Linked DNA regions of Canis lupus familiaris. The protein of the gene in region 1 interacts with the protein of each later gene in a pairwise test. Links are inferred from orthologs where the notes say so. Each region holds a gene or a part of one and is shown on either strand. Other genes may lie near its edges.

Region 1 (10,912 bases):
TCAAGTTTCCGCCAGCTATTTACACAGCAGGCCCTGTGTTTACTTGGTAAACCAGCTGTCATCCTGAGGGGCCAGGGTGAGGCTGCTACTTGTGCAGATCCTTTGGGTTTTCACTGTGCAAGCATACTGCCTCCAGTGGACTGTGTCTATCTGGATTGCTCTTTGGGTTGTGTGAACGGGCACGTTCTTGTCTTGGGGCAGTGGGCCTCTCCCCACGCTGTTCAGGCCCGACCTGGCCCACTTACTGGGGTGTGAGGTTACAGAGACCTGGACAGTTAGCAAAGACAAGGACCGTGAAGGTGGCTAGGAAAACCAAGAGTGATTTGAGTAGGATTCAGACGAAGCCAACTCCTACTACTCTCTGTAGGGCTGGCCAGACCCAAGCTACAGAAGCACCCCCCCCCGCCCCACCCCCCATGCTAGCATGGTCCCACATGCAAATGATGCCGACATTCAAAGATCTCACTTCGTCTCCTGTTCACATGCCACCTCCCTGGGAAACAGTCCCCAGCAGGCGTTCCCAAGGTCTCAAAGATAAGGAGAGCTCTGTGCAGATGGCCGGCAACACTTCACAACACTCGCTGGGAAGCACGTTACTGGCATTTATTTTTATTGCTGTTAGTTTTTATGTTATATTATGGGTTGACCTGTGTCCCCTCCCGCCCTCCAAATTCACATTGAAACCTTCACCCCCAATACCTCAGCATCTGACCTCATTCGGAGGAAGGGTCTTTGCAAATGCCACCCAATTAAAGTAAGGTCAGCAAGGTGAGCCCCAATTCAATAGGACTGCTGTCCTTACGAGAAAGGGGCACTTGGACAGAGACACAGAGGGAAGATGGCCATCTACAAGCCAAGGGCAGAGGCCTGGACTATTCCCATCCCAGCCCTCACAAGGAAACGAGCCTGCTGTCCACACCCTGACTTTGGGCTTCCAGCCTCGAGAATTGGGAGAGAATCAGTTGCTGCTGTGTAAGCTGTCTGCTTGGTGCCACTTGTTACAGCAGCCCTAGGCAAGTAATACAGGTTACACTTAAAATAAAACTTCAGCGGGGCCTCTGGGGAGTGCGGTCTGTTAAACTCCAACTCTCAGTTTTGGCTCAGGTCATGATCTCTGGGTGGGGAAATGCTCAGCAGGGAGTTGGCTTCCCCTCTCCTCTGCCCCTCCCCCCACTCCCTCCCACTCTCTCAAGTAAATACAATCTTTAAAAGAATATAAAGTAAACTAGAACCTCAGGGTGCCCAGCTGGCTCAGTCAGAAGAGCGCCACTCTTGATCTCAGGGTGTGAGTTTGAGCGCCACGTTGGGTAAAGAGATTACTTAAATAAATAAAAACTCTTAAAAAATAAGTAAGGTGCCTGGGTGGCTCAGTAGGTTAAGCGTCTGCTTTCAGCTCAGGTCATGATCCCGGGGTCCTGGGATCGAGTCCCGCGTTGGGCTCCTTGCTCAGTGGCGAGTTTGCTTCTCCCTCGCCCTCTGTGATCTCTCTCACTCCCTCTCAAATAAGTTAACGAAATGTTTAAACTAAATAAATAAAAAACATAATAGAACTTCTAAGCACTTTACAAACTTTGGGTTTTCCTGGCAGACACAGTTACAACATGGGATCCATGTAGGAAAGTACCAGCAGAGGGTTCTCAGCTGGTGGCAAGTGTGCCCACTCGTGTCCAGCTGCCCATGCCACACCTCCGGGTGACCGGCAGCAAGCTCGCTTCCTAAAGGAGTTTTGATGGAGGGGACAGAGCCCAGAGTAGAGATTAGGAAGCCTCCGAGTGGATTTGCACCTCCGTCATCTTTCTGCCAAGAGCTGGCTGGCTTGTGACGTGCGGCCAAGTGACCCCTGGCTCTGCCCCCGCTGGGGCCTCACTCCCTGGCAGGCATGCTGGCCTCACAGGGGCAAAGGCCACAAAGGACAGTAATAAAGGACGGACAAAGTAAAATATTCAGCTGTGGATGGTGAAACGCTACATGAAATGCCACAGACAGAATTCAAAGGCCAATAGGGAGGATATCACAGCACATGACAAAGTGACACCAGCCATCAAGTGCACTGGAAGAAAGATAAACCAAGAGAAAAAGGAGTGAAAGCCCTTACAAGGCAATTTAAAAGATAAAGAAATATAAATAGCCAATAAACATGGAAACAGATGTCAAGTAGCAGTAGCAGTAATTTCTCTGTAGCAGAGAAATGCAGTAGAACAGGGTGCGCGGGCACGGGTGTGCACAAACACGCACCCTCTGCCATTTGCCCTTTACACCTCTCTCCTAGGGAATCTCTGCAAAGGCTCAGCGGTCCCACCGCCCTGTCCTCTGCGCCTGCTGTTCACTCTCCACTCAGCCTGCCCAGAGCCCACCCACCTCCCTCCTACCGCAGACACAGCCGGCCAACAGCTCACTCCCTGGCTCTCTCGCAGGCCCCTTCCTAGCCACCCCACCTTAGCTCTGTCCCCCTGGCATTGCCTTTCAGGCCAGTTGTCTCCACCTGACCTAGGACATCATTCTCTCCCTGGACTAGAAGGTAGGCTCAGGGGTGGAGACTCTGGCTGAATCCCCAACCCTGAGAACACAGCTGGTGTGGGGCACAAGCCCAGAAAAAGCATGGATGAATGAATGAATGAATGGAATTGGCCCCTTGACCAGCAATTCCACTTAGCAGATAAATCCCAATACAACAGCCAGCAGCCCAAGATGCCCATCACAGACTTCAAATGCACATGCCAGGGGGCTGGCATAAGTGAGGTAGTACATTTGTAAACACTCATAAGGATGGGTACACTTGCTGATACGGGTAAACGGCCCACAGTGTGATAGGAGGCCCCTCTATTTAAAAATGCACGCTGGGGATCCCTGGGGGGCTCAGGGGATCCCTGGGTGGCTCAGCGGTTTAGCGCCTGCCTTGGGCTCATGGTGTGATCCTGGAGTCCCGGGATCGAGTCCCACGTCGGGCTCCCTGCATGGAGCCTGCTTCTCCCTCTGCCTGTGTCTCTGCCTCTTTCTCTGTGTCTCTCATGAATAAATAAAATATTTTAATTAATTAATTAATTAAATAAAAATGCACGCCTATAAAAACTAGACAGATGTAGAACCAACGTGTAATGGGGCTTTGTTTGTTGTTCTGGGTTGTAAAAAGAGAACAGCAGCCCAGCAGCAGGAGCTGGCCTGGCCCTCACAACTGGGCCCTGGAGTTATCACGTGGAACATAAATAATTTCATGGAGCACGAGCATGAGGCAAGGCCACTCTATGACTGCAATGTGTCAAGACAAAAACAAGACCCTCCATAGTCCTGTCTGAGCGGAGACAGACGTCAACACTCAATAAGCTACAAGGGACCAAACATTCCCCTGTCCTGGCCAACAGGAGTGACTGCTGCTGCTTTATCGACTCCACTTCAGCCTCATGGTTCTCCCTCCCTAGCAAGAAGGTTTAGGATCCCGGTCGGGATCACCCTCCTTCCTGAGGGCGTTGAATTGAGAACTAAGCTAACCTCCTAAAACCCTGTCCAGAATGACCCCTACAAGCCCTAGTCCTAATAACCAAGCCCTCTCCAGCCCCTCAGTGGGATAGATGCCCCCGGTTCCCAAGATGGATTCTCCCTGCAGCAATCACTAACCACTCACCAAACACACACACAAAAGAATTTCAGGGCACAGGGACCCTGGGTGGCTCACGGGGTTAAGTGTCTGTCTTCAGCTCATGTCATGATATCTCAGGGTCCTGGCATCCAGCCCTGTGTCGGGCTCCCTACTCAGTGGGGAGCCTGCTTCTCCCTCTCCCCCCCCTTCCTTTCCCTCAAATAAATAAATAAATACATTCTTAAAAAAAAAAAAAGGTGGGGGACCAGGTGCCCAAATTCCAGTGGCAGAAGGTCAGTAGAGGCCACACATGCAACCTCTAGGTATGCCACCCCGCACCAGGGACCCCTAAAGCTTTCTCAATTCCGTTCTCTTAATGCGCCCTTCCAGGGCAACCTGAGAAGCCAACAGCAAGCCTCCCCATCACTGACTTGGAAAAGAGTGAGCCAGGAAAGGCTTTCACGCACGATTTTCAGAAAGACAAGGGAAGGAACAGCAGCAGTTAAAACAAACGGTACAGGGGCACCTGGGTGGCTCAGCGGTTGAGCATCAGATGCCTTTGGCTCAGGTTGTGATCCTGGAGTCCTGGGATCAAGTCCCACATCGGGCTCCGTGTGAGGGGCCTGCTTCTCCCTCTGCCTATGTCTCTGCCTCTCTCTCTCTCTCAGTCTGTGTCTCTCATGAATAAATAAAGACAAATGGTACATCTGTAAATAGCAAGGATATGTGAATTAGAGCAGGACTTACACAAAAAGAACTGGAAATCCCAAATAAAAAGCAGGCTTTGAAAGCACACACACTGGGAGATGTTCCCAGAACACCTGCCAGAGGTGGGGAGAGAGATTCAGAGTGATAGTGGCATCCTTCTCCCCACCAGGCATGGGGACATGAGTGCTCACATGTCAAAGGCACACCAGACACCAAGCATAGAACCTCCCAGGACACACTTTCCTGAGAGCAAACCCGTTACTCGTTACCTGCTCAGGCCGGCAGCCACAGACCAACGGCGGCCTTCTCCTCAGCTGCAGGAAGAGCTACTGCTTTTCCAAAGCAACGGGGAGAAACCATAGTCAAGGTACCCTTTGCCCTCTACTTACCGTAGAGAACATTAAAGACATTTTCCTACCAAGACGCAGAAAGCTTCCCACCAACACGTCCTAGCTGTAAGAATTACTAAAGGATGTACTTCAGCTGGAAGAGGAACAAGCCAGAAGCAACAGTGAGCCAAGCAAAACATTCTTACACACCAGTGTTGAGAAACTGGCTTGAACTCATGGCCCCGAGATCAAGAGTCATATGCTCTATGGACTGAGCCAGCCAGGCACCCCAAGAAACCTAATTTTTTCCCCTCATTGTAAATATAAATATATATATATAATATATTACAGATTTTTTTTTTTTAGGGGAGAGGGGAGGGAGAGAGAGTCTTAAGCAGGCCTCATGCCCAGCACGGAGCCCAATGGGAGGCTCCATCTCACGACCGTAAGATCATGACCTGCAATGAAATCAAGAGTCAGAGGCTCAATTGATTAAGCCACCCAGGTGCCCCGCCCCACCCCTCTTTTTATTGTATATATATATTTTTTAAAAAAGGTAAAATAAATCCCTTAAAACATGAAAAGCAGTACGGGGAATCCAGAGGGTATTCAGACACCGGTTAAAGCAAGTGAACTACAGACCGGGAGTCCGTAGGCAGAAGGCCAGACAAGCCAACTTACGAACTGCCCTTCGTCGATGCCTATGACAGCCACGCCCAGGGCCTCCTGGGCCACGTCCCGGAGCAGGCAGGCTGGCAGTGCCTCCATGGTGTTCCTGGGGAGAGAAAGCCAGCAGTGAGCCAGGGACCGGCTCCCAGGCCCACCCTCCCCGCAAAGCACGTGCACCGTTTGGCCCGAGCTTGAAGTTAGTGCCTGTGAGAGGGCATCTGGGGAGAATAAAGACCCATGTTCAGACCAGTTATTCAACCCAAGTTAGGCCACTTGATGCTCTGGACCAGAGATGAGCAATGCGTGATATAAAGCTTAATGGGGAAAAAAAAAAAAAAAAGCTTAACGGGGACTCAAAAGCTCTGCTTCTGTTCAGGGGGCCAGGGCAGGCGAAACGCTTTCTTTCTCTTAAAAATGGGAAAAAAGAGTACGTAAATACAACTCAGCCTGCACTCTAGTTGTCTTTATTATCAACGCGGTCATGAGATATAATTTTTCACTTCTTTCTTTTTATGGAGGAAGGGGCACACAAAGGTAAAGTTGCCCGGGGAAAGTCCAACGTGGTCCTGGGCAAAGCATTAGCACCAGGCCCCGAGCTCCGTGTGTCCCCGCAGAGAGAAGCCTGAACTTCAGCCTGCAGTGCCAGAGAATTCCCTCCGTTGGGCTCCTGTGGCCGAGCGGAGGATTCTTCCAGGTTCGTGGGGCTATTAACTGGCAGAGCCAAGGTTCAAATCCAAGGTCATAGTGCTGCCCTGCGCGCCCCACAGGGAGAGTCGTATTCACAAGAGCTTGAAAGCAAAAGGCCATGTGTGGGAAGGTTCCAGTGCATTACGTGGCACGGTGGACCCCATCCCGCCCCCACACCCAGGGCCTTTTCTGAACAGGGATGCTGTTCTCTCTCCCCCGTCTTTTTATTTTTATTGATTTTTATTTTTTTTCCCCCGTCTTTTTAAATAGTCTCTGTGTTTTTCTACAATGTTGTTTTCTTCTGTGTTCATTTTTCCTGCTCTAAGTAGCCTTCTGAGGGGCTTGTACTCCCCTGCCCCTTTTTAAAGATTTTATTTATTTATTTGAAAGAGAGAGGGGATCCCTGGGTGGCTCACTGGTTTGGCGCCTGCCTTTGGCCCAGGGCGTGATCCTGGAGACCTGGGATCGAGTCCCGTGTCGGGCTCCCTGCATGGGGCCTGCTTCTCCCTCTGCCTGTGTCTCTGCCTCTCTCTCTCTGTGCCTCTCATGAATAAATAAATAAAATCTTTAAAAAATAAAATAAAATAGAGAGCACGTGCACACTAGAGCAGGAGGAGGAGCAGAGGGAGAAGGAGAAGCAGTCTCCTCCCTAAATGGAGGCTCGATGCCAAGACCCTGGGATCACGATCTGAGCCAAAAGCAGACGTTTAACCAACTGAGCCATCCAGGTACCCCTGGGGGCTGGTACTTTCCAAAGGCTCAGCAGCCTGTAGCTGTATTTAGAAAAAATAAAATACAACCACTGCTCAGTTATTATCTTGCTATAAGTCTACTCCAAGATCTGGCAAGAGCAGGAGATGGTATTTCCTGCATTTTAAATTCCCCTTTCCCACCCCAAGCCAGAGAAAACCAGAGGGTGGGCAAGGGCAGCATCTCTGGAGCCCTGTCACTCCCGCCAAGGGCTGAGTCACAGCCATGGCCCGTCTCAGCTTCTGTGGCCCAAGTGAGAGGGCATGTGTGCGGCTCCGGCCAAGTTCAGACATGCCCCTGATCTGACTTATCACTGCGTAATGCGGCCTCCTCTGCTCGCACTGCCCTCCCTGGATGTGCCCCTGGCCAGTGCAGCAGAAGCAGACACATGTTTTAGGGAAGAAGTAACTGCAAGACCTAAATGACCTGCATAGGGCAGCACGGCAGAAAGCACCAGTCACTCACATCCTGATGCTTTAACTCCAATTCCTAGACACTATCCACCCACCACCCGCCCGGCTTCAGAAACCCCACATTCCCACCCCAAAGCCACACACGGGGCAGTCCTGAGGCTGCAAGCCCTCCCTGTGGCACAGCGTGGCTCTGCCGCTGGCGGCTCGGGCGGACAAGTCCAAAAGAGGTAACATCTCAGGCTCAGAAATCTGCAGCCAAGGAACAGGCAAGAGTAAAACTAAACTCAACCTCTCATTCCCGACCTCAGGTTGCAGACTGAAACGTGTGCAGGGCACAGGCAGATAAACACAAAACTGGGAAGCATGAAGGCCACAAGACAACAGAGTCAACCAAGATAAAACAACTGAAAAGCTAAATGAAAAGCAACATGCACGCTAAACAAAACCAGTTTGCAACAGCACAGATGTAAGCTCGGCACTATTGACCATCGGGGCAGGGTCAGTATTTGTTGTGGGGGCCGTCCTGTGCACTGGGAATTCAGGAGCATCCCTGGCCTCTCCCCACTGGATGCCCATAGCATGCCCTCCCCTACTCCAGCTGTGAAGACTACAGATGTCTCCAGACATTGCCAAATGGACTCTGAGGGAGCGAGAGGGGGAACAAAATCTCCCTTTGTGAAGAACACCGGGCCAGAACTCTGTGAGAGGCCAAGTCCTAAGATCCCTTGCCAAGCGACCTTGAGAGTTTGCTGAGTTGCACGTTTCCATGCCGCCCACCGGCATGGCTAACCAGTCCTGCTGAAGAGCGCTCTGACAGTATGGCCTATGCCCTTGCGCATTTTCACCAGGTTTCCGGAAGAAGTGCTGGGACAGGACAGGAGAGAACAGGGACTGACCGGTCATGCGTGGAGAAGCTGTTGCTGTACCGCGTGTCTTTGGCATACTTGATCACCAAGCACTTGTACTGGGCAATCTGGAAGCGACGGACCCTTCTCATCAGCTCGGTACTGCAAGAGCAGAGCACTAGGTGAGACCCAGGATGTTAAGGAAGTCCCCATTAGCACAAGTGGGGCTCCCCCCCCACCCCTGCTGGGGGTCTACAGCCTGAGACCCACCAATGGACAGAAAAACCAGAGAGGACAGAGGGTGGTGATGGCAAGGAACAGAGGTCAGGTGGTCTGGGGAGGGGGTGGGAGAATAAATGTCTCAGGGATCTGATGGGGTGAGTAGAGTCAAAGGCCTCCGACAGAGAAGAGGGGTCTGGATTGCATCCCCAAAGAGTCCCATCCCAGAGGTCTTCACATGGTCTGCATTGACTTCGCAGTCTTTTGTTGTTGTTGTTCAAGAAAAAAAAGCAGTTACCTCTGGGTCCCAGAGCCCACCCTGGCCTGACTGTGGTGGGCACCAGGTTTGCCCTGCAGTGACCCCCCCCAGGGCAGAGGGCGTCACTCAGGGGGCCGACTAGCCCTGCCTGGGTCAGGCCACCGTCCTGTCACATCAGGGGAGCAAAGGCATCCTGGCCTGACTCCTTAGTGTGTAAACTACTTAAGGAAACAAACACTAGGAAGGGAAGGAGGAGTGTGGATGCTGCAGGGTGCACAGGACCCAGCTCACCGAGGACACCATTTTAGAAGAATTAAAATTTTAAATTGAAAAAAAAAAAACCAAAACGAAACGAAAAGACTTGGCTGCTCCTTTCCAAGAGAGATTTAGTGGGAGGGTGGGGGGAGGGAGGACTACACCCTCAGCAGCCATAACCTGCTGCAGGGGGGCGACGTGGTGCCATGACCCCATGGAAGGGTCTGAACCCCGCGGGCAGGGAAGAGGCGCCCTCCTGCAGGACCGCATGGGGCGGGAACGCGTGCTCGGTCCGGGGGAGGGGTCGTCCTGCAGGGGGGCACTGAGAGGGGCAGCAGGGGAGGAGGACGGGCCCCCGGAAGGGAGGGGGGAGAAGGCCGTCCCCGCGAGGACATTACTTATTTACCTTTTTCCTGAGAACATGGGTCCTAGAATCACCTAGGAGAGAAGGAGAGGTCACTTCGGGGCCCGCTGCGCACGGACTGCAGGCCAGGGCCACAACCCCAACCCCAACCCCAACCCGCACCCGGGTCGCGACCCCGGCCCGCCACCCGCGCCCGCCGGGGTGCCACCCCCGCGCCGGCACCTGGATCTGCCCCCGGGTCTTGCTGGGGGAGCCGGGCAGCACGGTGGGCAGGTTGATGCAGCTCATGGCGCCTGCACGAAGCCCGCCGCTCGGGAGCCCTCGGGTGCCACCGCCCAGCAGCCTGACCCGGGTGCCCCCGCCGCCGGCCTTTATCCCGGGCGCGCTGGCCAATCGGGAGCCGGCGCGGGCGCCCCGCAGCCAATCAGCGCGCGGCCGCGGACTGGCGGGAGATTCGAGCGCGGCCCGCCCCTCGTGGGCGGCCCCGGGGACCCGGCGGGCTCGCGTCACCTGGACGGTCGGCCCCGCCCCGGCCGCCGCCTCTAAAGGGCCTCTAAAGGGCCGGGGCGCGCCCTCTGGCCGGCCGCGGCGGGATGGAGGGCCCGGCGCCCTGGAAGCGGCTGTCCAAGGAGGTAGGCGGGTTGCGCCGAGCGGGGCGCGCGGGGCCTAGAGGCCGTTCCCCTCGGGGAGGCGAGCTTAGAGACCCAGAGCCCAGCCCCCCAGGGCGCCGGCGGCCCCTGTGCGCCGCTCCCAAAGCCCTAGCGCCGGCATCTCCTTTGCTTCTGGCCACAGGCAGGCTTCGGGGCGCCTGGTCTTCAGGGTAGAGAAAACAGGCTGTGCTAATATCCATAAAGGAGGCACAGTCCCGACACTGAGGTCCCACAACGTGGATGGAGGATGTGCCGGGGTGAAGGATTCGGAAAGGCCGGCGTTCACCGCAGGACAGGCAAAGCACTTACTAGGGTTATCACTCAACTATGATTTCCTAACTAGTTTCCCTGCATTTCAGGCTGTATTTTGGGTTGGTTTGGGTTGGTTTATTTGTTTTCCGGTCACGGATACATGTGAGAATCTGATAAGTTATGCATTCTGCCCCCGCCCCCCCCCAAGAAAACCCCGTTCTCTCTGTGTCAGAAACCCATTGCATTATTGTTATTGTACATAACGACAGGGAAGATGACGGTAGCAGTGACAGCGTGTGCCGCTATGTGCCGCAGGCACAGATTGTACAGGATCTAAAGAACGCTGGTCAGGCACCTCGTTCAACGGGAGGGGGCCATAACCCACATTTGAATGGTTAGTTTTACTTCATTTACATGCTTTATGTCCTTCAACCTTGTGATGCTACTATTATGCCCATTATGTAGATGGGGCTGAGGCCCAGAGAGCATAAGTAAGCTGCCCAGGGTAAAACAGCCTGTAAGGGATAGAACATGGATGGCATTCAACCCATCTGACACCAGAGCCCAGGACCCTTCCATGAAGCCACCCCGTCTTAAAATTTCCCATTTTAGGCTTCACTCTTTCTCCTTGCCTTTGAGCTCTTTCTCCCAAACCTGGTTCCTTGCTACTCTCTGCATTAATTCTGTGTCTTAGCCTGACATCTGAGATCCTCTCCCCGTAGTCCCTCCTTCCACCTCACCTCTGTGTCTCGGTGGTCTGACTCACCAGCATTTCCAAACTGACCTTTGATTCCTCTCTCCTGACCTTTGTTTCTTTGCCGTGACTCCTGCAATCAGAATCCCGCCCTCTCATGGGCGCCTGAGGCCTGACCCTTGATTTCAACTTAGGTCATGATCTCAGGATCATGGGTTCCAGCCCCGTGTCCAACTCCACACTG
Region 2 (9,012 bases), on another chromosome or scaffold:
TTATTATATTCAATGGACTTTTTGAGCTTGTAACTTCTTTAGCCATACACAATTCCTGATTTATTGCATGTTAATGTTATTTTCCCAAGGAAAACTAGGACATATTGGCTTGCTTAAGGAATAGAACACTGAACAGTATACTCAGCAGGTACCAACCATAAAATGCTAGGACAAAACTTGTTCTCTTTCAACCCAAATGTTGTCAAACAATGAGAATAATTTTCAAAAACCTTGGACACATTTGAAGTACTTTATAGTATCTATGTTTATGTGTTTTCATTTATGGATTTGACCAAAGTTTTCTGAGCCAGAAGAGCCAGCCTAGTAATTGATTTGACACATTAATATTTTAATTCTTCCACTGATCAACTGCTTTGCGAACCTACAGAAACTTTTTATTCTCTGTAGTTTGGATGGTGATTTTGTGCATGAACTTGCATGTTAAGCTCTCCTGAGTTATCTCAGCTTGTTTCTCTAACTTGTCTGAGTGTAGCTTATTCCCACATTCTGATTCTGCCTGTAAATTTTTAGTAAAATGCAATGTATGAAAGGAAGAATGGGGGTTCTGTTGGAACACCAACAGTTCTTCAGTTGCTCCCAGAATTCAGTAGCCCAGCTATCAAGGGTCTTGCTGTGCACAAGCAGCAATGGTGCTACCTAGTAACTTGTGAGAAATGGAGAATCTCAGGGCACACTCCAAACCAAATGACTCAATCTTTTCTCTCTTTCTTCTGATGCTTGACACAGCAAAGGTTCTTCTTTCTTTCTCTCATTGTGGTCAAATATAGTGCATGTTGGTGGGGATGGGGAGGCATGAGAGCTAGCCTCCAGTCCCTGAAAAGATCCTGAAAAAAACAGAAATCCATTCAATAATACAGAACTGAGTAGCTCCTCCCTTTAAGAATTTAAATTCTTGAGGGCAGCCTGGGTGGCTCGGCGGTTTAGCGCCACCTGCAGTCCAGGGCGTGATCCTGGAGACCTGGGATCGAGTCCCACATGGGGCTCCCTGCATGGAGCCAGCTTCTCCCTCTGCCTGTGTCTCTGCCTCTGTCTCTCATGAATAAATAAATTAAATTTTTAAAAAAAGAATTTAAATTCTCCCTTAGAATTTTTAATTGTGATAAAATAGATCTAATACAAACTACCCTTTTAACCAATTATAAACATACAATTCAGTAATGTTAGGTATACTATGTTGTACAATCTCCAGAACTCTTGTTTTTATCTTGTAAAACTGAAACTCCATACCTGTGAACAATTCTGCATTCCTATAACCCACAAGTTCCTGGCCACTATCATCATAATTTTCATTTTAATAAGACCCTGAGGTGAAGATTCATAATATCTTAACATCTGAGAAGTGTGTTCTAGACAGTAACTTGCTCTTTCCAATTCTATGCTTGGGTCTCTAATGTGTCTTTTACCTGGGAATTCAGCAAAGAAAAATCTCTAATTACCTTACAAGGAAGTAAGGCCAAACCCCTTGCCTAAAACTTCTTTAAATACCATCTACCACTTGGAGCCATCCCAGCAAGTTTCAATCAGTAGGTCATAACTGATGAACTTTCTTAACTGGTATATTCAAAATCAATTCATTAGGCAAGGTATAGAGAAAAAAGAACAGACCACCATTTGATATGGGCTCTCTCAAGTTATTTTTATCACTTAAAAAAAAAAAAAAAAAGGGAAAGAGTGAACATAATTATTCCAAATTCCAATTATGTGGTTCCCTGACAGGAAAAACAATGTGGGTATGCTAAGGGTAGTGGTTAGCATTTTCTAATAGTTTGTTCTAATAGTTTACCTTTTTTTACTTTACAGAATTGTATTGATTTTGAAGCCCTGGCATTCAGACACATCCTGACTTCTAGTTTTTGAATGTGAATTACTCAATACTTGTATTAAAATCAGAAGCAGATCCTGACTGCCTATCTTTACTTGCATTCTAAAGTTTTTATCTTTGCTTCACTTCATTTACCTATAATTACTGCAATGTGAGAATAAGAACAGTTTCTGTAATATTAAGTATGATCAAAATAACACCTATAAGTAATGATAAACTAATTTTACTTTTTAAGTTAGCCAACAAGGCTTAGATCTTAAGGCAAATCCTGTGAATAAGCCTTTCATAACCCCCTTTTCTCTTGCTTCCTCAACCACAGAAGTTGAAAACCTTAAAAAAAAAAGAAAAAAGAAAAAAGAAAAAAGAAAACCTAAACATTTATTTACCATGCCAGACCTCCCCAGTTAGGAACAGCCATGAGCCCAGTTCTAGCTAGTAAGATGTAACCAGAATCACTGGAAAAGTTGTTTTCTTTTATTAAGGAATATATTTGGCTGGCATGTATTTTGTCCATGATAAACTAATTTTAAAAGATGAAATTTTATTAAATAAGTAGGTTGAATGATATTACAAAGAGGAATGCATTAGAAAATTCCTGCAGTACAACCTCTTCAAGAATTAAAATGACAGGCTAAAAATAATAAATAGTCCCTCAGGAAACATAATTTGCTGCTGGCAATCTATATTCTTCTTCTTTGTTTTAATGGACGACTTGAATGCACATCTTCCAGCTTGTCTTCTGGAGGTTTTGGCACAGATGAAATTACCTAGTTTAAAAAAAGAGAACCACCAACATTTATTCCTTATAGCACAGGAATAAATAAACTAATAGAAGAGGTAGGATCTACATCTAGTAGTTCAAATCTTGCCATCACATTGGAGGCAGAGTGAGTCCAATTTCAGGGTATAGCCTACAGAGCAAAGTTTTCTGTCCAAACACTGATGGGAGTAAAATTTCTAAAGCCATTTAACAAGAAAAAAAATTTGAAGGGAGAAAAATAAATATGTACTCTTCTATAATAATCCTTTATTATTAGCATCTGTAGTAAGTTGTGTTTAAGCATTTCTCATTTTTGTTGTTCTGCTGTTTCCTTTTTAGGAATTGAACCTAACAACTTTTTTTCTTGAAAATACAGTCTGCTCTGGCTGAGAGCGCTATGCATCTCTATCTATGCCTCAGCTCAGCTGTATTTGAAGGAAGGGGGCCAGCACAAACTAAAAATTTTAAAAAGAGGCTTAAGCATGGAAACTGCGTTTATAGATTTTTGTTATTATAAAATAGGAGCTCATCCTTAATGAGATAGTAATTTTCAGGTAAAAAAAAAAATACACATAAACTAAGCCACCTCAGACTCCCTTAATCACTCTGTAAAATATACATACAATTACACAAAAAGCACTCTCTGAACCTCAGATTAAAGTTTAAGAGAATGGTCTTTCTTCCTCAGCTTGATTTCTACGAGGTTTGCCCCATAAAAAAGGTATCTTTCAAAAGCTAATTCAAATGTTAGCTTTCTTTTATTGGTGCTTGGAAAATGTAAAATGATTACATAAATAATATGTAAAGAAATTACTACTTAAGTAGTACAATCGAGCTGTATTCTATTTAAGGAGCTGACATTTTGAAATGCAGACCGTAGTGGCTAGTCTTTAGAAATCTCATCTTTTTCTATGGCTATCTTTATCAAAGAAGAAAAAAGCATTTTAATTTAATGTAATTTTGTAATAACTTTAAAGAAATAAGTTGTAGTAATTTTCCTTCAACACAACAGTTCTGTACTTTGGCTCATAATAGAACCAACCAGGGAGCTTTAAAAAGGGAGGGCCTGGGCTCAATTCTCACAGACCAACCTCACTGACTGAAACCACTGCTTTTATAGTTTAGAGCTAGAATGATATGAAATACATTGTTTAAAGCAAGGATTAATGACATCAAAGCACATACATTTCTGTTAAGTCAAATTCAGTTAATTCAACAGAACTGTAGAAAAACACATAAAAAAAAAACTGAAAATGAAAAAAATTAATGACAATACTTTAGCTGCCACAAATCTCGATTTAGCTGTTAGTCCTATGACCAGATGGTCTCTTAAAATAGTTTTTTAAAAATGATCTTACCTCTTGAAGTTTATTCCGAATTAAATTTGCTGTGGTATTCAATGAGTCGTCATGCATGTCCACTTTAGGTATGTCTGGTAACAGAGGCCCAATCATAACCTCATTACTACTTGTGCTTGTTTCAAGAAAAGTTCCAATTTTACGATCATCTTCTCTTCTTCTTTTCCGCTCCTGCAGTTGTGTTGTCCTAGGCATAAATCTCTCAACTGCCTCTGAAGAAGTAATAGCCTTTTGTGCACCAGGGAAGGCCAATGAATTTTTTAAAGGTTTCATTTGTATCTTCTGCAAAGAGTCATTGTGCATACAATGCTCCATTGTTTTAGCATGGTTTCTACTGTCCTGAGAGAAGTTGGATGCTTTACCCATATGTTCCCCTGACGAACATGTACATTTTGAGGAAAAATAACATAAAGGCAATTCACAAGAATAAGGAAGACAAGGGTCTGAGTTGCCAGCAGAAGTATTCACAGTGACTGCACGAAATCCAGATGTCCCTGAATGGAAGTTCTGTCTGAAATCTTTTGTGTCTTTAAGCTCTGTAACCCGTTTCTTCTTTGTTATGTAATGATCTTCACATTACAATTTAAAAGGTGAGATAAGAGGAAAAAGAAATGTTTTATTGTTTTCATCATTCAGAAAACTATAATTTTAAAAACAAACATTACTTTAAATGTTAACAATGGTACCCTGAATAATTTATTTCTTAAGCAGGCAATACCTTGTATTTAAAAGCTAAAAAGGATAAAGAATATATTAGTGTCAAGTGTCATTCTTTCTTTGCTCCCCATCTTCCTCGTTTCTACTTCTCCATAAGTAATCCCAATTCTTTCTTATTTATCTGTCCAGCTAGGTCTTACTTTTCCTTCTCCCACCAACTCCTCTTTTTCCATAATATCCATTTCTTTGTTCCTTTGCATTTTCCACCTAACTGTAGATCTTAGAGATCTTAGAGATTTTTTCTTGGTCATTACATAGAATGCTTCTTTCTTCACAGCTTCAGAGGAGTCTACTGTATGAATGTATCATGCTGCTTAGTTTGTGTTTAATTTTTAAAAGAGGCAGTATGCTGGACCCATATTTTGTAATTTTATTTGCCACACAACCATAAAGTTTTCCTAGAACTATTCACATATCCCATGGGTTAAAGTTCAGGGTCTACTAATGACCATGGGCTCTCAACAGTTCTCTTGCCAAATTTTCAAATAAGTCTTCCAAGAGTCTTCCCTCCTTACTTCTCTTCACCTCTGCCACAGGCCACTTCCCCAGTCATAAACTCCTCATATTCAATAACTGTGTGGATACTGACTTGGTCTTTCAACTAAAGGGTGGAAAACTGGTCATCTGAGCCTCCAGGACTATTCAGATTTCAGACCACACACATTATTTTAGTCCAATTCTGAGTGCTCTGTTCCTACAATCCTTGTACCAAATCCCATGAGACCCTATTCCAGGCACCTGGAATTTATGTCTAGTGAAACTCAGTGGGGCATATGGCGTCTCTGGCCAGCTACTGGTCAAAAGTGGGACTTTTTCACATTTAATAGTTTTAGATTGGCAGTAGGTAACTAGTCTGCAAATCATAATTGTTTCTCACTGCCTTTATGTCAAGCCTTAATTCCTCAGCATGGGACAGACACGAGGCACTTCATGATTCAGTTCCTGTCCTCTTTTCTAATCTTATTTCTAGGAGCAGCCCATGTTGTGGTTGCCCTGTACTACTTGTAGTTCCTTCATACACATGATGTCTACTTATTCCTCTGCTCTTTAAACATGCTACCTGGCTTACCTTTCCATCTCCCCTTCTGAGTAATGTCTACTTGTCCTTCAAAACTCAGCCATCTCTTTCATCCTGTAGGACTCTTGTCACAAACTAACATCTTTCCCTTTCCAGCCCAGATTACTTGAGAGTGCTGCACAGAATCCTGCAGTTTATAGTTAATGAATATTGTGATTATTTATCTCTCTTCCCACTAGACTGGGAGGCTCTATGATGATACACCTCGCAGACTGCCTGACACACAAAAGATGTTTAGTACCTGGCTTTACAAACCTTTATTTTTAGTAGTTCTTGCTATATAAGCCTTCCTCTCCTGTAATTTTTTTCTAGTTTCTTCAACTGTTTCAAATTCTGGAGCATAGCATACATGAAGCAATCCACCAAAGAAACTCTGTTCATCCATTTTTCTCTTGGCTGTCCTAAACAGAAATATGTGATAGCATGTTTTATTAATCTTGACCTACTTAGGATGAAAGCTGAAATAGTATACAATGCATTGATCCAAAAGTCCAGGTTTTGCTAGGTGTACATACATCCTATGGTTTGGGAGTTAAGATGTTCTACTTGTGTATGGTATTAACTCTACTGATCTAGTGCATACTCTTCAAGCCTTTCATCCCCTCGCTCTATACTACTAACAGATTTTGAGCTAAGTCATCCACACATAACCAGACTCCCTTTAACCAACTTAGGAGCCAATAGTTAACTTGAGGTACACAATCTGTGGTCATGAAATAGAGATTTCTCTGTGTTAAATGTCCCTTAAGAGTCAGCTCATACCCAATTTAGCCTTTTCAGCACAATGGATTCACAAATAAAAATATTGTAATAGTAAAATCTTCAATAATTGAGTAAATATTGAATATATAAGCAACGAGAAAGTTACATGATGATATTCAACAAATACTTATCAAACATATGTAACTGGCTAAGCATTATACTACAATAAATATTTAAGTACTTGCGTGTCTAGGGATAATGATAGAAATACTTATTGAGATTTTATCACACACCAGGCAGTGCCCTAAGTACTTCACCTGAATTAAGATTTCATAAAACCCTATGAGGACCTAAGGAGGCCTCAGGAGATTTATAATTTAGCCATGCTCACACTAGTTTGTGGAGTTATGATTCAAATTGAGATGCTGAACTCCACAACCTACCATATTATGTGCTGTGGGAGATGCAAAAACTCTAGAAAATATGCTTCGCTAACTATGAGGGGAAGTTGGTTAGGGGAAGTGAGATCACATAAGGGAGCAAACTGAGAACAATACATAACCCTATAAAAATCAAGTGCTTTTGTGGCAGACTGCAAGTGCTATTTGGAGTACGGAAAGACAATGTGAATGGTGGGGCACCTGACTGACTAAGTCGGTAGACCATGTGATGCTTGATCTTGGTGCTGTAAGTTTGAGCATGTTGGGGATACAGTAATTAAAATCTTTTTTTTTTTTTTTTTTTTAAAGAGAAAAAGGAAGTATGAATGGTAATAGCCAAAGGATGGATATTGGAGCAAATTAGTGACAAGAATGGGGTAAACATAAAACTAGATGAGGCATTTCACCCTTATTGAAGCACAGAATTTATGCAGAAGGCAGGAAAAGACTGAGTCAATTCACATAGGTGCATAACATTAAGAACTTCAATAGCGGACAGCCCAGGTGGCTCAGCGGCTGGAGACCAGGATTGAGTCCCATGTCGGGCTCCCTGCATGGAGCCTGCTTCTCCCTCTGCCTGTGTCTCTGCCTCTCTCTCTCTCTGTGTGTCTCTCATGAATAAATAAATAAAATCTTTAAAAAAAAAAAAAATCCCAGCAAGTTTAAAGAAAAAAAAAAAAAAAAAAGAACTTCAATAGCTAATGTTTACTGCATTCTCAACAGGAGGCACTATGTTTCAGCCCTTTACATGGATTATTTCATACCATCCTCACACAACCCTCAAAGTAGGTCCTTTTACTGTACAGATTTCAGAGACTAGAAAAAACAGGCTTGTTGAGGTTAAATGACTTGTCCAAAGTCACGATGTTAGTAAGCTGTGAAGTTCGAAAACTTATCCAAACCCATTTTGTAATCTACCACAATATATGACTGAAGATTGTTAAGCAAGGTAATGACATTTAAGACTGGAGTTAAGATAGGGCAGCCTGGGTGGCTCAGCGGTTTAGCACCTGCCTTCAGCCCAGGGCGTGATCCTGGAGACCTGGGATCAAGTCCCACGTCCGGCTCCCTGCAGGGAGCCTGCTTCTCCCTCTGCCTGTGTCTCTACCTCTCTCTCTGTGTCTCTCGTGAATAAATGGGTAAAATCTTAAAAAGAAAAAAAAAAAAAAGACTGGAGTAAGATTAAAATAATACAGCGTTACTCAGTAATTCAGGTATGAACGAGGGACAACTGGGACCAATGTGCTAGCAATGGGAATGGCGGAAATGAAACTTAAGCTTAACTTGCACATTACCTTGCACTTTGTAAATTCATAAATTTAATAAGATAAACTTCCGTAAAGTCTTCTGCTGGGTATTCATCTAAAGCGTTATACTGTTCAATTGCACCATATAGAGCAAATCGCTCAACTAATTCCTTCATTGCTCCCACCGCAGGAACTCCTTGAATTAACAAGTACCGAGATTCCAAATTGATTGTATATACCTAAAAGAAATGCAGACACATAAAAATGTATTTTCCACATATTAGTGAACCCATGTGATACCTGCCTTTCTCTGATTGACTTATTTCACCAAATAACATAATACTCTCCAGTTCACTAATACATGGAATATAAGAAAGAGCGCAGAGGATCGTAGTTAAGGGAGGGAAAACTGAACGGGAAGTCATCAGAGAGGGAGAAACACCAAGAGAGACTCTTAACTCTAGGAAACAAACTGAGGGTTGCTGGAGAGGAGGTGGGCGGGGATGGGGTAATTCCGTGATGGGTACTAAGGAGGGCACATGATGTTATGAGCACTCGGTGGTGTACCTAACTGATAAACTATTGAACATCTGCATCTGACACTGTGTACTATACGTTGGCTAACTGAATTTAAATTAAAAAATGTATTTTCCAAATAAGCCTAAGACACATCTTCTATTTAAAAAAAAAGAAGAAAAAGCTCTGGGGATTAAAGAGTACATTTACAATGATGAGCACTAAATAACGTACAGAGGTGCTGAATTATCATATAGTACACCTGAAACTAATATAACGCTGTAGGTTAACTATACTAGAATTAAAATTAAAAAAAAAAACAAAAAACTTAAAGCCCTGAAAAGAAGAAAC
Region 3 (10,566 bases), on another chromosome or scaffold:
CTTTCACCCTTATGTCTATATTCGGGAAAAGTTTATATTACATTTCCTCCCCAATAGGCATCATGAAAAAACGGACGGGGGCAGTTTTTCACTTCAGATTTTCATGAAATGCTAGAAAGGGTAAGTGTTTTAAATGGTATGCCATTAATCATAAGCTTTTTTTCTTTTCAGGTTGCATCTGATGCCAGAAGGCAAGCACAACCTCCATCTGCGCTTTGCAGATGAATTCAATAAGTTAGTAGAAGACTTCCTACAGTAAAAATGCCCGAGAACCGCAGGAACCTGATGATGCCTTACTGTGGAATCACCTGTTGGTGAGCCTCTTGCTGTCATTCCTCAGCTCACCTGCTTTCCCATACTTTCTACTCCTCCCTGCAAACTGCTCCCAAATAGAAATAATGACATTAAAACATCCTCTAGGGGTACCTGGTGGCTCAGTGATTGAGCATCTGCCTTTGGCTCAGGTCCTGATCCCGCAGTCTGGGGAATCGAGTCCCGCATCGGGCTTCCCACAGGGAGCCTGCTTCTTCCTCTGCCTCTCTGTGCCTCTCATGAATAAATAAATATAATGTTAAAAAATAAATAAAAGAATAAAAATTGCCTGAAATGAAACTGAAGAGACCACAACGTTTTGGACACATGCTTTTTTATTAGTATAGATATCTTAGACAATACTGTAGTTTTTAGGAGTTCCACATTATTACACCAACAGTGAATTTCTGACAGAGGCAAAACGGAGCACCATAGTATACAAATAGAAAGACCATGCTTGATTGAGGACAACAGAAGGTCACTAAAGATGCACAATTTATTTGAGAAGTTCTTAGGCCTCGTCCTCGCCCTCCTCCTCCTCGAACTCCCCCTGTTCGTCGGCCGTGGCGTCCTGGTACTGCTGGTACTCGGACACCAGGTCGTTCATGTTGCTCTCGGCCTCGGTGAACTCCATCTCGTCCATGCCCTCGCCCGTGTACCAGTGCAGGAAGGCCTTGCGCCGGAACATGGCCGTGAACTGCTCCGAGATGCGCTTGAACAGCTCCTGGATGGCCGTGCTGTTGCCGATGAAGGTGGCCGACATCTTCAGGCCGCGCGGCGGGATGTCGCACACGGCCGTCTTGACGTTGTTGGGGATCCACTCGACGAAGTAGCTGCTGTTCTTGTTCTGCACGTTGAGCATCTGCTCGTCCACCTCCTTCATGGACATGCGGCCGCGGAAGATAGCGGCCACCGTCAGGTAGCGGCCGTGGCGCGGGTCGCACGCGGCCATCATGTTCTTGGAGTCGAACATCTGCTGGGTGAGCTCGGGCACCGTGAGCGCGCGGTACTGCTGGCTGCCGCGGCTGGTGAGCGGGGCGAAGCCGGGCATGAAGAAGTGCAGGCGCGGGAAGGGCACCATGTTCACGGCCAGCTTGCGCAGGTCGGCGTTGAGCTGGCCCGGGAAGCGCAGGCAGGTGGTGACGCCGCTCATGGTGGCCGACACCAGGTGGTTGAGGTCGCCGTAGGTGGGGGTGGTCAGCTTCAGGGTGCGGAAGCAGATGTCGTACAGGGCCTCGTTGTCGATGGAATAGGTCTCATCGGTGTTCTCCACCAGCTGGTGCACCGACAGGGTGGCGTTGTAGGGCTCCACCACCGTGTCCGACACCTTGGGCGAGGGCATGACGCTGAAGGTGTTCATGATGCGGTCGGGGTACTCCTCGCGGATCTTGCTGATGAGCAGCGTGCCCATGCCCGAGCCCGTGCCGCCGCCCAGCGAGTGCGTCAGCTGGAAGCCCTGCAGGCAGTCGCAGCTCTCCGACTCCTTCCTCACCACGTCCAGCACCGAGTCTACCAGCTCGGCGCCCTCGGTGTAGTGGCCCTTGGCCCAGTTGTTCCCGGCACCGCTCTGGCCTGCCAGGGGGAAAGGAGAATATTAGACACTAAAACATTAGGAATTCTGAATTGTCATTGGACTGCAGACTAATCTGCAGACTTGCCGGTTCTGCTCTTATATATACCCTTTTTTACCCATGGAAAATTTTCTACATATCAATGATCCTCAAAACCACTGGAGATCATAATGAGATAAAAGCAAGTTTAGTTTATATGGAATTATTAACTTATCAGGAAGGTGGTTTAATAGGAGCTCTGTACAAGTGTTCACAGCAGATGAAATAAACAGGCAGGAGCAAGGGCACAGTATGATCCGAAGAGAAGATGGGCCCTAAGCAGCTGCCTCCACTTCTGGGCATAACCTGTGCCCCTGGCCTTTGGCTTCCTGAAGTGGCTGCCCGCTGGCCCTGGGCTGCGATGCTACCAGAAGCCCACTGACTCCTGTGGGGACGCTGGTCCCGCTCTGTGTTCTTGACCCGTCCTAGGCCGCTGCGCGCTGGGAGGGCTCTAGAGGCCGCCTTGGGCCCACACTGTCCCCAGAGCTGCCCGGAGAGGGGCCGGGGGCTCAGGCCGGGACCCAGGCCTCTGTGGACCCCCAGTCTTCACCTGGCAGGCGACGCTAAGAATCGGGACTTGCCCGGCATTGAGGAAGGAGACTCCTGGAGCCCGTTGCCCTGACCGTGACTACGTACCGAACACGAAGTTGTCGGGCCTGAAGATCTGGCCAAAGGGCCCGGACCGGACCGAGTCCATGGTGCCCGGCTCCAGATCCACCAGGATGGCCCGAGGCACGTATTTGTTACCTGCGGGGAACAGAGCCGGACTTAGACGGGCGGGGGGCACAGGGATCACAGCCCGGGCTGTGCTCCATGCGCCTCTCACAGCAGCATCATTAGAGAAAATTCTAGCACCAGAGACAAAAGGCAGCGAACAGAGCTGTCTCTCTGCCTTAGAAGAGGAGCCAGCGGCGGCTGCTTAGTCATGGCCAACATGCAGGAGTCAGGGGGGCTTCGCCAGTCATTTTTAGCAGCTGACACTTTAAATGCATGCAAGCAGCCTCTCTGTGCCGGGGCCACCGGCTGTCCCTAGGACACTGCGTCTGCCCCAGCGTGCAAAGCAGGGGGACTGGGCAGAAAGCATGGCTCATCACCTGCAGCTTCATTGTAGTACACGTTGATTCTCTCCAGCTGCAAGTCGCTGTCTCCATGGTAACTGCCGGTGGGGTCGATCCCGTGCTCGTCACTGATGACCTCCCAAAACTGGGGAAGGACACACAGGTCAGGGAGGGGGCTGGCACCCTGGATGCCAGTGAGGAGGGCGGCCCCTGGGTCCCCTCCCTGTCCTTGGAGCAGGGGCCCCGTGGGGGCGGGGGGGGGGGGGGGCCTAGAGCTGCACCCGTGTGCTGCGGGGGCTGCCGCAGGGGGGCTCGTCGGGGCGCAGGGCGGCGGCCCCTCCCCCAGGCTGCCAGGGGCACTGCCCCGGGAGGGGGGGCGCGGCGGAGGCCCCGGCAGGGAGAGCCCCGGATGCTGGGGAGGCGGGCGCCCCCGGCAGGGCTGAAGGTCACAGCCGCCCCTGATGGGCAGGGAGGCCTGCGGAGACCCCGCCCCGCCACTGCCTCGGGGATGCGTGCTCCTGCTCGGGGTGCAAACCCCACCCAGCCCTGCAGGCAGCAGCCGGGACCTCGGACAGCAGCGGGCGGGTCGCCCTGTCCCCGCGGGGGCCGGTGGGGAGGGGTGGGGGAGAGGAGAAGGGTAGCGGTGAGGACGGAGGGGGGGAAAGGGCAGGGGCCGGAAGAGCGGCAGCCCTACAGAGTAGGGGGGGAGGGGGGAGAAGAGGGAGGGAAGAAGGGAGGAGGATGGGGAGAGGAGAGTGGGAGCGGCAGCCCTGCGGGGGTCGGTGGCTGGAGCCGGGCGCTGGGAGGGCGCAGCTCCGTGTGAATGTGCAGCGGCGGGGGGGGGGGGGGATGAAGGAGAGGCGGGGGGAGGCGGGGGAAGAGGCGGGGGGTGCGGAGGGGAGCGCCGGGCCCTAGGAGAGCCGCGGCCTCACCCCCCCGCCCCGCCCCCCCCGCCGCGGTCCGAGCCAGGGCCCCGCACCTGCCACCAGCCCACAGGCAGCGGCCCGCGACAGTGGGGCTCGGCGTCCATGGCGCCCCTGTAGGCACCGAGCATCCTGGTCTTTGTAACCTAAAAAGAAGTCCCTCTAGCTCGCCACCCCAATGACACTGCATTTTTTCATTCAAACTATAGAGGGACATACACAATCGAATTAAGCTGCGCTCCAGGCCACTGGCAGCGCGGCGGCTCGCCCACCCCAGCGCCTGGGCAGCGGCCGGGAGTCCTAAGGGCCCGTGAGCGTGAGCCCCACTGCGGCTCCGCGGGCCCGGGCAGGTCGGGGCGCTCCCCGCCGCGCTCACAGGCGCCACCGGGGCCCACGGCCGCCCACACCTGGCCCCGGCCCGCCCCCGCCCCCGCCCGCACCCTGGGGCCCGCCGCCCCTCCCCCTCCCCTGCCGGGATCCGCACCCTGAGGTCCTGGCGCCCCTCCCCCTCCCCTGCAGGGATCCGCACCCTGAGGTCCCGCCGCTCCTCCCCCTCCCCTGCCGGGTCCGCACCCTGAGGTCCTGGCGCCCCTCCCCCTCCCCTGCCGGGTCCGCACCCTGAGGTCCTGGCGCCCCTCCCCCTCCCCTGCAGAGATCCGCACCCTGAGGTCCCGCCGCTCCTCCCCCTCCCCTGCCGGGTCCGCACCCTGAGGTCCCGGCGCCCCTCCCCCTCCGCTGCAGGGGTCCGCACCCTGAGGTCCCGCCGCCCCCTCCCCGTCCCCGCCCGGGTCTGCACCCTGAGGTCCCGCCGCCCCCTCCCCTTCCTCTGCGGGGTCCGCACCCTGAGGTCCCGCCGCCCCTCCCCCTCCCCTGCCGGGGTTCGCACCCTGAGGTCCCGCCACCCTCTCCCCCTCCTCTGCCGGGTCCGCATCCCTCGGAGCCCGCCGCCCCCTCCCCGCCCCCGCCGGGTCCGCACCCTGAGGTCCCGCCGCTCCTCCCCCTCCCCTGCCGGGTCCGCACCCTGAGGTCCTGCCGGCCCCTCCCCCTCCTCCACTCGGATCCGCACCCTGAGGTCCCGCCGCCCCCTCCCCGTCCCCGCCCGGGTCCGCACCCTGAGGTCCCGCCACCCTCTCCCCCGCCCCCGCCGGGGTCCGCATCCCTCGGAGCCCGCCGCCCGCTCCCCGCCCCCGCCGGGTCCGCACCCTGGGCCCCGGGCGCGCCCACCTTGGCGCCGATCTGGTTGCCGCACTGGCCGGCCTGGATGTGCACGATCTCACGCATGGTGCGGGCTGCAGGCGGGCGGAGGCGCGGCCCGGGGAGCAGAGCGCGGCGCAGCCGGCGGAGTCCGCAGCAGAGAGCAGTCGCCGCCCCCCGCCCCGCCCTTTATAGCGCGGGAGGCGCCCCCGCCGGGCCCGCGGTGACGTAATGGGGCGGGGCGGGGGGCGGGGCGGCGGGGACTGCGGCACCGCGAGGGGGAGCCGGGGCGCGGTGCGAGGTGCGCGGCGCGGGGCTGGCCGGGCGCGGGGCTCGGCTGCCGGCGCCCCCTCCCGTGGCTCCGGGCGCCCGAGGCGGGCTGGGGGCGCGGGTCCCAGACGGGGGAGGGGCCTCGGCGGGGTGCGGGGCTCCTGCCTGCGCGGGGCCTGGAGCAGGTGCGGATCCGCAGCCAGGGTGCGGGACGGACTAGGGGGAGGGGCTCCGGGGACCGCAGGTGCCACCGCGTCGGGAAGACGGTGGGTGTGCGAGGGGCTGCGCTGGCCCCGCGCATCCCCTGGGCTCTTGGGCCCTGGTAAGGGCCGTGCAGCTGCGGCGAGTTCTGCGCGGGGCCTGCGTGCCACGGAGGATGCCAGGGGCCTCAGCCCCGGATCCCGAGCCCTCCACGCGCTGTGTCACCTAATCCCCGCGGCCTCCTTCCAGGGCCGCGCAGCCCCGTTCAAAGGCCACCACGCGCGACTCCTGAACGCTTGAGATGTGCCCTAGGCGCTGTGCGTGTAAGTCAGTCACTGCATTTCATGGACTCAGTAAGTTAAGCGACTTACTAATTTTGCATATTGATAACACATCAAAATACTATTTTGGATATAGGTTTTAATTCATTTTTTTTTCTTTTACCTTCTTAAATGACTACTACAAGGGCAGCCCGGGTGGCTCAGCAGTTTAGTGCCACCTTCCACCCAGGGCGTGATCCTGGAGACCCTGGATGGAGACCCCGGTCGGGCTCCCTGCATGGAGCCTGCTTCTCCCTCTGCCTGGGTCTCTGCCTCTCTCTCTCTCTGTGTCTCTCATGAATAAATAAATAGAATATTTTTTTTAATGACTACTACACTAGTAGCGACTACTGGAAAATTTTGTTACCTGAGTGACTCACATTGTATTTCCAGTGAACAGCCCTGCTCTAGAGTAGACGTAATTACTGTCCCAATTTCGGCGAAGGAGCCTCAAAGAGCTGAGTAGCTACAAAGCCAGTAAGTGAAGGCACCTCGAGTCCTTCCACAAAGACAAAGCCCAGGTGAGTTTTAAAGGCTTGGTCAGGGTGAGGTAACATCCAGTCTTGATTGTTCTCAACGATGATCCTGAGCGTTGGGCCAGGTGAGCGGGGACCTGGGGACGGTTTCTGTTTCCCTGCACATACTCCTTTTCCTCTCTGGGGCCAGTTTCTCCAACCATAAAATGATGATAATTATAGGTGCCCTGCCGCCAGCTTTGTGAGTAGGAAATGAGAAGCTCTGGATGAAAGCAGGTCAAATTTATGGATCAAGAATACCCTATAAAAGCCGAGGTGATGCTGCTGCTGTAGGCCCGAAGCCTGCTTGCCGGGTTGGTAGTGGCATCCAGCGGCGGTGGCCCGCGTCCACCTGTGGCCTGCGGCTGCATCACAGTGTCTTAGGGGCACCCGGGGCACCCAGGTGCTGTCTCAGGGAGGGAGGGGGTTCCCGGCTCCCGGCTCCCTCCCCCTCCCCCTCTCCTCTCCCAGCACAGAGTCCCCGCCCCCGCCCCCAGTCCATCCCACTGACATCATTGCCAGGTTCTTCGGCTTGGCCTCCACCATCTCTCCATCTCTATCTCCAGCTCCCATTTCCTCCCGAGCTTCTAGAGCCTTCCAGTTCCTCTGCAGAGAATGGCCCTGCTCCCTGTAGCTTCACTAACAACACAGAGCTACAGAGATTTTTCTGGAGGCAATTGCCTCTTGGTCTTTGTGGTTTCCTACAAGATGAGGATTTGGGGCCAAATAGGAGAAGAATATGTGACCTGGAAGGGACCATCTTGGGGACGTGGGACCCCAGTGGGTGGACATTTCCCCACCTGTGGCAGGGAAAGATCACCCTCGTGGGGGGTGCCCGCTCCACTTCGTCCTGCTCCGGTCGCTAAGCAAGTCACCTACCCTCTCTGAGCCTCTGTTCCCACATCTGAAACAGGGAAATCTGTTTTCCTTATGCTGGGAGGCAAGAGTCACTGCCTGTGACCCGGTCGGTCGTTTCGTGAGCATGCGGTTGATAAATAAATGACAGCATGGGTTCCCCGGGCCCAGGCACCGGAGGGCTGGCCCTTGGATTCTGGCAGCCGGAGGACGCCGCCTTGGCGGTCTGGACCGGCCTCCTCCCCGGGCCGCCCGCCCCTCCCCCAGGCCCGCCTGTCCTCTGTCCTCGGTCGGCACATCCTCAGAGGCACACAGGCAGTTTATTCAATGATGCCTGCCCGGCCTAAGGTGACTCATCGAGGGCTGCCAGCTCCTACCGTCGTCCTCCTCGGGGCCAGCGCCGCGCCAGCAGCTGTCACAGCAGCGCAGCTGTGGACGGGGGAGATGCCCTCCCCTGGAGCAGGCCTTGGGCAAGCTTTGGGGTCGGGGGTGTTCTCCGGACCCTCCCGTCCAGAAAGGAGCAGCTCTTTGGGCCCTTGGGCAGGGTGGTGGGGGAGGAGAGCCAACGTCGTCCCGCCATGTGTCATTTCCTGCTTTGGACTTGATGTCACTGACATCAGGAGTGTGAGCCGGGCCCTGCCTGAAGGCACTTTGGGGTGATGATGACAAAATTCAAACTGGAAAGGAAAGGAGTGAATTCCCGGTAGAAGGCTGGGCCTTGCCTGCGTGGTACAAACGGGCTCAGAATCCTGCCCCTGGCTCTCGGGGCCGTCGCCTCCTGCCCTCCCTCTGCTCTGGCCGGGGTGGCCTCTGCACGCCTGGGCTGTCCTGCGGGCCACTGCTGTGAGCCGAGGCCGTCTCTGCCGGGACACCTGTGATCTGGTTGAAATAGATCTAAATTGGGATCCTGAAATTTCGAAAACGTCAATAGGATAATGAAGAGCCAAGAACCATTCCGGCAACCAGGTGGCATGAATTATTCGGGAGCAGCCTCACAGCCTGTTTGTGCCCTCGGAGAGGGTCCAGGGGACAAGGCGCCTCAAAGTCTCTTTCCTGTGAAACGCTCCTGCAGCTGTGAGCACACGTTTGCAAGCTTTTAATAAAAGCATCTCCATATGAAGATGGAGGAATTTTACTTAAAGCTTTGGAAGTGCTTCCTTTTTAAAAAGACTTCCTCAGGGGCACCTGGGTGGCTCAGTAGTTTGGCACCTGCCTTGGGCCCAGGGTGTGATCCCGGGATCCGGGGATCGAGTCCCACATCGGGCTCCCTGCATGGAGCCTGCTTCCCCCTCGGCCTGTGTCTCTGCCTCTCTCTCTTGAATAAATAAAATCTTAAAAAAAAAAAACCAAAAACCTGACTTCCTAAACTATAAATAGCCTGGACCCCAGTTTAACTTGCTTTGGAAACATCAATGCCAACAAGTTACAGTTTATAAATTTTTGCACCAGATAATAATAATTTGGAGTAAATGCACGGTAATGTTTTTCAGCCCCTTTCTGCAATGTTTCATGTCCCGGGATGTGTTATTTTTACTACAATTGTCGCTCTGGGCCTTTCGAAGTTGAAAACAACAAATGTGTGTGTGTGTGTAATAAACACATACATTACATATACGTATATATTTTATCATGGTAAGAAACTTATTTTTATATACATATTTTCTGACTATGAAATTAGAAGCTTTAGAAAATACAAAAGAATGGAAGTGTGTCTTTCTGCTCTTCTCTGTGTATACTTTTTTTTCACTGTGTTTGATGTACTACCTTCTTTTCTTCTTTCTTTCCTGGTCATTTGGGTGTTTTTGTGCGTTCCTTTTTAACGTCATTTCAGTTACATTTGCCTCGGACATTAAAAAATGAAGAAACGCTGTGTTTTCTTTCACCATGGCTTACATCACAATCTCACAGATTCTCAAACATATATAACCTTCTCCCAACTGCTACCATTTTGCCCATAAGCTAGAGCATCTGGAACATACCAGGTTCTCCGAGCAAGCCCTGCCTCACGCAGCCAAGGCTGTTCCCAAGGCCGGAATGAATGTCGCCCCGTTTGGCGCAGCCCCACATTCCCCGGATGGAGTGAAGAACACAGGCCGTGGGTGGGGTGGGTGCAAATCCCAACTCTGACACTTATTAGCTGTGTGACTGAGAGGAACTCACTTAAACTCTCTGTGCCTCACTTGCTTCATCTGGAAGATGGGAATAAATGGCAGTACCTACCTCCTCGGGTCGCTTCGAAGACTGAATGACGGGATATGTGAAAGCACCTAGAATCCACCTGCTGTGTTACAGCAACCTCAGCCGTTGGAATTAGTATTCCTATTTCCTTCCTTCCTTCCTTCCTTCCTTCCTTCCTTCCTTCCTTCCTTCCTTCCTTCCTTCCTTCCTTCCTTCCTTCCAGGGGCTCCTCTCCCTAAATCAACTCCAGTGACGCTTTCCCCATGAGGTCACTTGCCCTCCTTTGTGCCTCATAATATGGTGTCCACATCTTCCTATCACAGCCCCAACCCTTAGTTCCTGGGCTTGCAGCAAGGAAGGCACCAGGAGAAATAAAGTCACGGAAGAATGAGCTGAGGCCCCTGTGCAGGCTGCAGCCCCCTCCCAGAGCCCAGGGCTCCGCAGGCCAGTGGGTGTTGGGGGGGCTTCTGAGCCCGCGCTGCACAGGCCCGGGAGGGCCCTGGAGGGCGTGCAACACGGGGGGCCTATTGCTGTCACTTTGCGACCCCCTGGCCCCCTGGCCGCCTGTTTGCCAAATGTGAGCCCTTTGCACGCCACAGTGTGAGTTGCCAAGTGTCTGGGTGAGGCCAACCATGCCGACTCCCACGTGGCCAAGCCCTGGGTGCACCCAGGGTGCAGGGCATTTTCCTGGGAGCCCCAGGGCTCAGCGGTGCCCCGTCTCACCGCCAGGCAGCCGGGTGGGGGAAGGCTGCCGTCAGCAGGTTCCTCCCGGGCTGTGCAGGCCGCGGTCCTGCGGAGCCTGATGGCTCTGCCTCGTGTTGCAGGTGTGCTGGGAGGCTGCCAGCAGCCCGGGGCGGCGGGGGGGCAGGCGGGGGGCTCCCCTGGTTCCCTGCCCTGCCTTCTTGCTGCCCTCACCTAGACTGCCAGGGTTTTAGCCCATCACGCAGGAGCCCCCCTGCCCCCCGACACAGGCCGCACAGCTTTCCCCACGATGGTCTTTGCAGGGGGAGCATCAACCGGCCCCCACCCCTCATTAGATACCCCGGGGAAAGTGCACTCAAAATATGAAGTGCCTTTTTTTTTTAGCTATAAAATGATCCTGAGGCACATTTTTAAAAGTGTTTATTGGA

The links.
Region 2: the proteins of TK1 (region 1) and RBM48 interact in a two-hybrid assay, tested with the Homo sapiens proteins (2 studies listed by BioGRID and IntAct). The link is inferred for Canis lupus familiaris from reciprocal best matches to the Homo sapiens genes TK1 and RBM48.
Region 3: the proteins of TK1 (region 1) and TUBB2A interact in a two-hybrid assay, tested with the Homo sapiens proteins (2 studies listed by BioGRID and IntAct). The link is inferred for Canis lupus familiaris from reciprocal best matches to the Homo sapiens genes TK1 and TUBB2A.

The regions. Positions count from the first base shown.
Region 1 is NC_049230.1:3,864,528-3,875,439, reverse strand, and holds the start of TK1 (thymidine kinase, cytosolic), read right to left. Parts: upstream 9,431-10,912; 5' UTR 9,361-9,430; coding exon 9,295-9,360; intron 9,147-9,294; coding exon 9,115-9,146; intron 8,138-9,114; coding exon 8,027-8,137; intron 5,387-8,026; coding exon 5,293-5,386; intron 1-5,292. UniProt on the Homo sapiens protein: Cell-cycle-regulated enzyme of importance in nucleotide metabolism. Catalyzes the first enzymatic step in the salvage pathway converting thymidine into thymidine monophosphate.
Region 2 is NC_049235.1:18,070,097-18,079,108, reverse strand, and holds the end of RBM48 (RNA-binding protein 48), read right to left. Parts: intron 8,385-9,012; coding exon 8,194-8,384; intron 6,158-8,193; coding exon 6,012-6,157; intron 4,531-6,011; coding exon 3,962-4,530; intron 2,611-3,961; coding exon 2,524-2,610; 3' UTR 2,296-2,523; downstream 1-2,295. UniProt on the Homo sapiens protein: As a component of the minor spliceosome, involved in the splicing of U12-type introns in pre-mRNAs.
Region 3 is NC_049256.1:4,734,240-4,744,805, forward strand, and holds TUBB2A (tubulin beta-2A chain), read right to left. Parts: upstream 5,287-10,566; 5' UTR 5,185-5,286; coding exon 5,128-5,184; intron 3,126-5,127; coding exon 3,017-3,125; intron 2,670-3,016; coding exon 2,559-2,669; intron 1,885-2,558; coding exon 824-1,884; 3' UTR 630-823; downstream 1-629. Other genes in the region: BPHL (valacyclovir hydrolase), read left to right, coding at 172-259. UniProt on the Homo sapiens protein: Tubulin is the major constituent of microtubules, a cylinder consisting of laterally associated linear protofilaments composed of alpha- and beta-tubulin heterodimers.